2 linked regions of the Arabidopsis thaliana genome follow. The protein of the gene in region 1 interacts with the protein of each later gene in a pairwise test. Each region holds a gene or a part of one and is shown in the gene's direction. Other genes may lie near its edges.

The links.
Region 2: the proteins of YLMG2 (region 1) and PIN5 interact in a protein complementation assay, tested with the Arabidopsis thaliana proteins (one large-scale study listed by BioGRID).

What each region holds. Positions count from the first base shown.
Region 1 is NC_003076.8:7,241,031-7,244,788, reverse strand, and holds YLMG2 (YGGT family protein), read left to right. Parts: upstream 1-1,908; 5' UTR 1,909-2,023; coding exon 2,024-2,329; intron 2,330-2,706; coding exon 2,707-2,909; coding exon of another isoform or gene 2,910-2,913; intron 2,914-2,948; exon of another isoform or gene 2,949-3,192; coding exon 3,193-3,439; 3' UTR 3,440-3,588; downstream 3,589-3,758. Other genes in the region: PAA2 (uncharacterized protein), read right to left, coding at 46-132, 253-306, 393-490, 863-940, 1,039-1,660; AT5G21910 (uncharacterized protein), read right to left, coding at 3,662-3,758. UniProt on the Arabidopsis thaliana protein: Not required for the biogenesis and accumulation of native cytochrome b6 in the thylakoid membrane. Not functionally involved in the pathway for covalent binding of the c-type heme to cytochrome b6.
Region 2 is NC_003076.8:5,398,628-5,402,385, forward strand, and holds the start of PIN5 (Auxin efflux carrier family protein), read left to right. Parts: upstream 1-2,012; 5' UTR 2,013-2,107; coding exon 2,108-2,769; intron 2,770-3,277; coding exon 3,278-3,363; intron 3,364-3,456; coding exon 3,457-3,614; intron 3,615-3,758. UniProt on the Arabidopsis thaliana protein: Auxin transporter regulating intracellular auxin homeostasis and metabolism. Mediates the auxin transport from the cytosol into the lumen of the endoplasmic reticulum. May also act as an auxin efflux carrier when located to the cell membrane.

The sequences.
Region 1 (3,758 bases):
CTACAAGTTAATCTTGGGAGGAGAATCAAGAAATGTCTAACATACCAATAGTTCATTCATATCGGTAGATGCTTGAAGCTTTGCTCTTTCTTCCAAAGAACGACCAAGGAGCACAAAGCCAAGCAGCATGACCTGCATACTAAATGACAAGAGCTATCAATCAGAAATTTACTATTGAAACTGTATTTTGCATGTAGTGGAAGTAATAATAAAAAGCTTTCATCCTCTTGTGGATCTGCTAGAGAAACTCACCGGTTCATCGAAGAAGGAAGCATCCCACTCCAGTTCTGGATTAACTAGTGAGATCTGCAAAATTCAGAATGCAGAAACTGCAGGTTTTCAGAATAGGATACTCACCAGTCAAATATAAATTACAGGGTACAAAAACTCACCAAACTGATGGAAAATGCAGCCATGGATCCCAATCCAACTAACGAGTTCATATTAGGTGATCTTTTCCCGAAAGCTTTTATGCCATCAAACAGCAATTCTACAATATACATCTATCTGTTTCAGTCATTTGTGTTTCCGAACAGCCTCAAATATCACTACCACCACTTTGTTATGAAAGTCGCAAAGAATAGTAGGAACCATCACTATCACTTAAGAAGTTTGAAAATTCAGAGTTTCTCTCTTATGACAACGACGACTCAATTAAGCTAACCATTATCCATAAGAAGAACTGATTCAACAAAGCTCACCTATATAATCAGAGTAGAACACTAGCACTTATCTAAGTCTAAACAATAGCCTAAGAACGACTACTTTGTCATCTCTCTCTTATGATACTAATTACTAAACTTATTATGCATTAGCTGGTAAGAATCATAGATTCGAACTAAAAGTTTAAACAAAAGCAAACCTCTTCCTGGTCCCAACAAAGCTCCAACGGCCAAACCACCTTTCACGTAAGAGTTGTGTAGCAAATCCCAAATCCCTCCTAGTAACATCAGGTGCAAGAGAAAGTCATAAACTACATCTCTTATCCAACAAATGACATCTAGCATCACAATTTTTTTTGCATTATAATCAATGTACCATGAGCAATGTGAATTCCCAAGGAATGAAGAATATGCGAAGTGTGAGACCCGCAACACAGAGCCACCAATGTCCACGCAAACGCCACACGGTTCCTGCTCTTAACAAGCAAGTCCTCTTTCTTACTTACCATCTCCTTCCACTTCTTCACATTCTCCGCCACTCCCATACCCGAGACTCTCCTCTTAGCCTCAAAACCACTCTCTGTCAATCTCTTAGCTAAACTCTCTGCCGTATCCGCCGTCACCTCAACCTCCGGTTTAAACTTCACAGCCGCGGTTTCAGTCAGCATGTTAACCACAGCAGACGCGACTCGATCATCAGACATCAAAACCGATTTAACTCGGGCGACGCAGCCACCACACATCATCCCACTCACATCGAGGAGAATAGGCGTGTCGCTCGTAATGGATTTCACAGATTCGATTGAAGATTCAGTAGATTCAAATGATTGAGTACTTATCTCGACCGAGTTTGATACTAAAAAAAAAGGTCGCGAACAGTGCCGCCGGATACGAGAACGGCGCAGTCTTGGAAAGCATCGGTTCACGAGGAACTTACTTGGACGAATATGAAGACTCGATGGCGGAGGAAGAGGAAATCGGAGAAGATTGCTCGCCATTTTCTCCGGCGAGACAGACGACGATAGTCACGCGATGTATACAAGTAAGAAACTAGTGGTGGACTGGTGTATGGTTCGTTAAAAAGAGTATCGCTAAACGTTGACACGTCGGATTTGGAATATATCCGAACATTAGCCATTTTTGTGGAATTTTTAAAAAGCCAGGCTGTCACCAGAAAAATCAGAGAGAGACATAAAACGCAAAGTTTTAATAGGTAAGACCTTCTAACTCAGCTAGAGGATTACAGCCCCCGGGACACAGCGATGCCACGTGTCATCTTCCTGAAATATTGTTTTTTGTTTGGAGGTAACTTTATCTTCTCAAGCTTTCTTCTTCTACAACACATCTAGAGCTTTGCAACAATGGAGGCGAGTGCGAATGAACCAGCTATGAAAAGCTTGAAATCCAATCCTTCAGGACCGATACCGAACTTTTTCGTATCGCTCTCTTCGGCATTTACGCAAACACCTCTTGTGCGTTCGAACAAACCCAATTTGCTTCTTCTACCACCAGTTGCAGACTCCGTCAAATTGATTCAAGACTTTCATCAGTCTCTGATTTCTGCTACTGAGAAATTTAAAGGATTCCTCCATTCGCTCGCCTCTAAGAACCCTCTCTTTCAGGAAGCGGTTCGCCTATCTTCCGAATTTCACATTTTGTGCGACGAGGTAACTTCTCTTAGCCTGCTTATGCTAAAGAATGTTATGGATTAAGTTAAGAAGATGATTGTGTGTTTCTCATGAACTTGCCTTGGCTCTGATTGTTACTGTAATGGGTGAATCTTTGTGGTTTCTATTTATACAAAATGGGTCATTCTTTAACAGCCAGTAGATTGTTGTCTAGATCATTTAGCATTTATTGGAAAACCTTCTCACATTGATAACCCTGAGTTATATATGTCCTCAAGTTGGGATCTTTTTTGGTTCTTTTCTTGTAAAGATGAAACTTGGCTTCTGGATAAGTCCGGTTATGATTTTGTGTGCCTTTGCTTCTGGTTTTGGGTTCTTTATGTCTTAAAGATGAAGATCATTTTGTTGCATTGCAGATTCGTTTGAGAAACACTACAAGGGTGAGGTTTGCGATGTCTAATCACGGATTTGCAGCGGTTCTGCCTGGAGATTCAGTTGCAGGATTGGTGGTTGCTAATGGTTTGATCAATTTCCTCAACATATATAACACCATCCTTGTCGTCCGTCTAGTACTCACCTGGTTCCCGAGTGCTCCTCCTGCCATTGTTAACCCCCTCAGGTAAAACGTTGCCTTCAAATGCCACAATGATTTTATATCTTATCCAGGTTTAAAAGTTTTCGATCAATCCATGAAAACAAAATCTAGATCATAGAAGTCCTATTCGTGATTGTTGAAGGTAGTCTTTTTACTTGATTTAGAGGAAATTTATTTTGGATAAACTCTGTCTACTACTTTTTTGTCCAACTCTTAAATGGATTAAAGATTGGTTAAACCCTGATTGATCTGCCCAGGAACCCTAGTTGATTCCTATTTATGTGTATATGCGTTACCATTGTTTCAGCACTTTATGTGATCCATACTTGAACATTTTCCGGGGATTCATACCGCCTCTTGGAGGATTAGATTTGTCTCCCATTTTGGCGTTCCTTGTTCTCAACGCCTTCACCAGCTCGGCTATGGCACTTCCTTGCGAACTCCCGTCAGCTGATGGAGCCGTTTCTCCAGCTTCTAGTGAGACAAAGTGGGTGAGAAGGAGAAGGTTGAGCAGCCACAAAGACCACAGACCGAGCTCAGCTTCTATGACCTGAACCTGTCTAAAATATCTACTCTTTTCTGCGCTTCAAATGTAAAATCTACCTTTCGAGTAATTTTATTACTCTGTATCTTTGGATTTCTGAGTTTTGTATAAATTTTCTTTAGAAAATGAATAAAAGAGTTGTGTTCCTGACATACAGAAATATTGTAAAAATTTTGCAAGAGATGAGCTTTTCTTCTTCATTTGTGGCATCAAAACAACTTTCGCTCAGATTCTAACCAGAGGCTTTGCATATCAAGACGAAAACAAGAAGGATGAGGATGACAAGCAATCCACCAAACGAACCACATAGCCTGTGAATCCAGTAAGGA
Region 2 (3,758 bases), 1.8 Mb from region 1:
GTTATATGATCACTACTCTTGAATTCGAACTCTAATTTAGGAAGAACAGTATAAACCCCAACATATAGTGTTTTCTGGTCTGAAAAACTTTGATTGTTTTGTTTTTGTGGTTTGGGAAAAAACATCAACATAATATTCATGACGTCAAAAGTACAAAACAAATAAGATGGATTTTGAATAAACTTTCCAATCGTGCTAGCTAGCTATTTCTGACATAATTCAAGAAGAATAATGAAAATATGTCACACAAAAACAAAAGTATTAACGATGAATGAATGAATGAGAGAAGACAAAAACCTTTTTGATATTAAAAAGACTGTAATATATATCAACACATCAGGAGAGAAATTTGAAAGCATATTATAGATTTGTAATCATCAAGTGATAAATAGAACTTATTCTACTAGCATTATTATTCATATTTATATATGATCCCTCAATTTCACCAGTGAATAAGCATCCTCCACGTTTTCACAGATTTCTAATCCACCGATTTTAACTTTTGTTCCATCAGTCAAATCCCCCTTTTTGTTTTTGTTTTAGTCCGACTATATATATTTGTTTGCTTATGTTTTTCTATTTGTTCCAAATCTTTGGTAAAGATAGGTGTTTCCATAAAATGTTATTATCAAATCAAATGATAAATAAATGCTTTCCAGATCATTTTATGCCTCTGCATGATTCTCTAGTAATTAGATCAAATCAATTTTCTCATCATGAATATGTGTAATAGAAAAGACTTTGTGAATGGACAATATATATGGTTACAAAACAAAAATATACCATAGAATTAAAAAGTGCTAATATGATGATATTGCACCTAGCAATATGTGTTGTTGTGATTATATTAGAGTCCAGAAGGCAAATAATAAATTTGTTGTCTAGCAAGAAAGGACAAGAGCACGAGGTACAAATTTTTCTGTAAACTTTTGTAGTTCTTGAATGGCTTCCTCAATCCTCACGATGATAGATTTTTCGCTAGCTCGTAGTATAATATGGTTCTTTGATATTTTAACAAAGAAGAAAGACATGGCCATATGATTTTTTATCGAACGAAACATAAAAAACAACGTAAAACATGGTTTAAGATAAAAGTAAGTAAGTTATTTGTAGACTTCTCTATCTATCTATATATTAACATATTCTAAAACCCATGACATGTTATTTCTTAAACCATGAATATATTGAAACATTCAAATCATCACTAGGTATAAGTAAGTGAAATTCATTTTCTTATAAGAAATCTCTCTTTGTCGGTTATGAAATTGGTTGCTATCGCCAGGTCGTAGGGCACAAATACCCATTTCGGCATATATACAAACTATTCCATGCACTTTACTTATATTACATGCACTAGCATAGTTCTGCTCCCATTTTATGAAAGTGGTTAATAAATATAAATATTAAGATTAAGAAAAAAACGATTAAGCAAATATTTCGAATAAATTATTGAAAATATATTATTTGGTTAGTCTCATGTGTTGTGGCGACGAGTTACGACAGCCAAAAACATATATTGGTCGAGACGATCTTCTAGTTATGGTGCTAAAGCTGCAACCTCATTCTTTATTCTGCGACATTACCATTAATTAATATAGTCAAATATTGAAAGAAATGTTTACGTCATACACAAACACTACACTCACTATTTACAGGAAACAATTGGAATAGAATCATATGCCACGGCACGGTCTGGTCAATTATATTGATAACGATAACTCTCTTGTTTCTCAATTAAACTAATGGCTAAAAATATGAGGTTGATTTTAATTTTTTTATCTAAATATTTAGACTCAAATTTCAATTGTATCTATTCTATAGGAATTTAGCCAAATTATTTATAAATATTCGTAATCATATTCCGAAGAAAAAAATATTATTGTTTAATTTATATCTAAACTTTACTTTTGTTTGAATATTACTCATGGATATCTCATTACCTATCTTTTTTCTACAACAAATAAAACAATTAAAAATTTATCTATAAATATGAACATGTTGGTTTCTCTATCGTAACACATTTACTATCTACGAACGAATTTAGAAGCTTTGTTTTCTTTCCTTTCGTTTGCTACTACTGCAACATTTCTATTTTTCTGATAAAACCATGATAAATTGTGGAGATGTTTACAAGGTAATCGAAGCAATGGTTCCACTCTATGTAGCCTTAATCTTAGGCTATGGCTCTGTGAAATGGTGGCACATCTTCACGCGTGATCAATGTGATGCTATAAACCGTCTCGTTTGCTATTTCACCCTGCCGCTCTTCACCATTGAGTTCACGGCCCATGTCGACCCGTTCAACATGAATTACCGGTTCATCGCGGCCGATGTCCTCTCTAAGGTCATCATAGTCACGGTCTTAGCGTTGTGGGCCAAATATAGCAACAAAGGAAGCTATTGTTGGTCCATTACTAGTTTCTCTCTATGCACTCTTACTAACTCTCTTGTCGTTGGTGTGCCATTGGCTAAGGCAATGTACGGACAACAGGCTGTTGATCTGGTGGTTCAATCCTCGGTATTTCAAGCCATCGTGTGGCTCACACTCTTGTTGTTTGTCTTAGAGTTTAGAAAAGCCGGATTTAGTAGTAATAATATCAGCGACGTACAAGTAGACAACATCAATATCGAAAGTGGAAAAAGAGAAACTGTGGTTGTGGGAGAGAAGTCGTTCCTTGAGGTCATGTCCCTCGTTTGGTTGAAGCTTGCAACGAATCCAAATTGCTATTCTTGCATCCTTGGGATCGCATGGGCTTTTATTTCTAACAGGTAAAAATGAATCTTTAATTAAACTTTATATTGGTACCTATAAGATGTTTAACAAAGTGTTAATTAGTATGTGTGATCAGGGACTCAGGAGACTACATTAATTCCACCCCTTACTCCGAGGCAACCGTTAAAATTGCCTAAAAATATCTATAGTTTGACGTTTAAACCATCTAAATTATTACTTTTCTGTGTAGCGCCTGATGATCTATAGTTAAAATTTTGACAGAAATATAGGTCACGATTGTTTCTTTGCATTTGCGTTTATATTTCCATGTGACAAATGACTAGGACATTTTTAACATGGTAACATAATTTGCAAACGTGACATGTACATGCAAATAAACTAATCATGATTTTAATCTGAATATTAGAGTCTTTGACCAAATTTCTATTTTATTTGTTTTAGTGTGAATTTTGGGTTTAGGGTTTTGATTAGTGTTTTGTATACTCTTGGCTAACAAATAAAGACTTAAGTCTAATAATTGATGGAAATTAATTGGAAATATAGATGGCATCTGGAGCTGCCGGGCATATTAGAGGGTTCGATTCTTATAATGTCAAAAGCAGGAACAGGAACGGCCATGTTCAATATGGGTACGTTTATTTATGTCCATGCAAGTATCTTTCTATACGTAAAGATTACGTATCAGTATTGAGATAACAGTGAATACATGCATATATACGCAGGAATATTCATGGCACTTCAAGAAAAGTTGATAGTATGTGGAACAAGCTTGACTGTGATGGGAATGGTATTGAAGTTTATTGCCGGACCGGCGGCCATGGCCATCGGCTCTATTGTCCTTGGCCTCCACGGTGATGTCCTCCGCGTAGCCATCATTCAGGTCATAAATTCTACTTTATCCTTTTGTACCCTAATTCTACTGAAGTTTGTATATAAAAAAAAAAGTAGATCATTTTCCATTCATTCATCCACTAAGATACTAACTTTATATTTTTCAGTTTAATATATCATTAATATTTATATG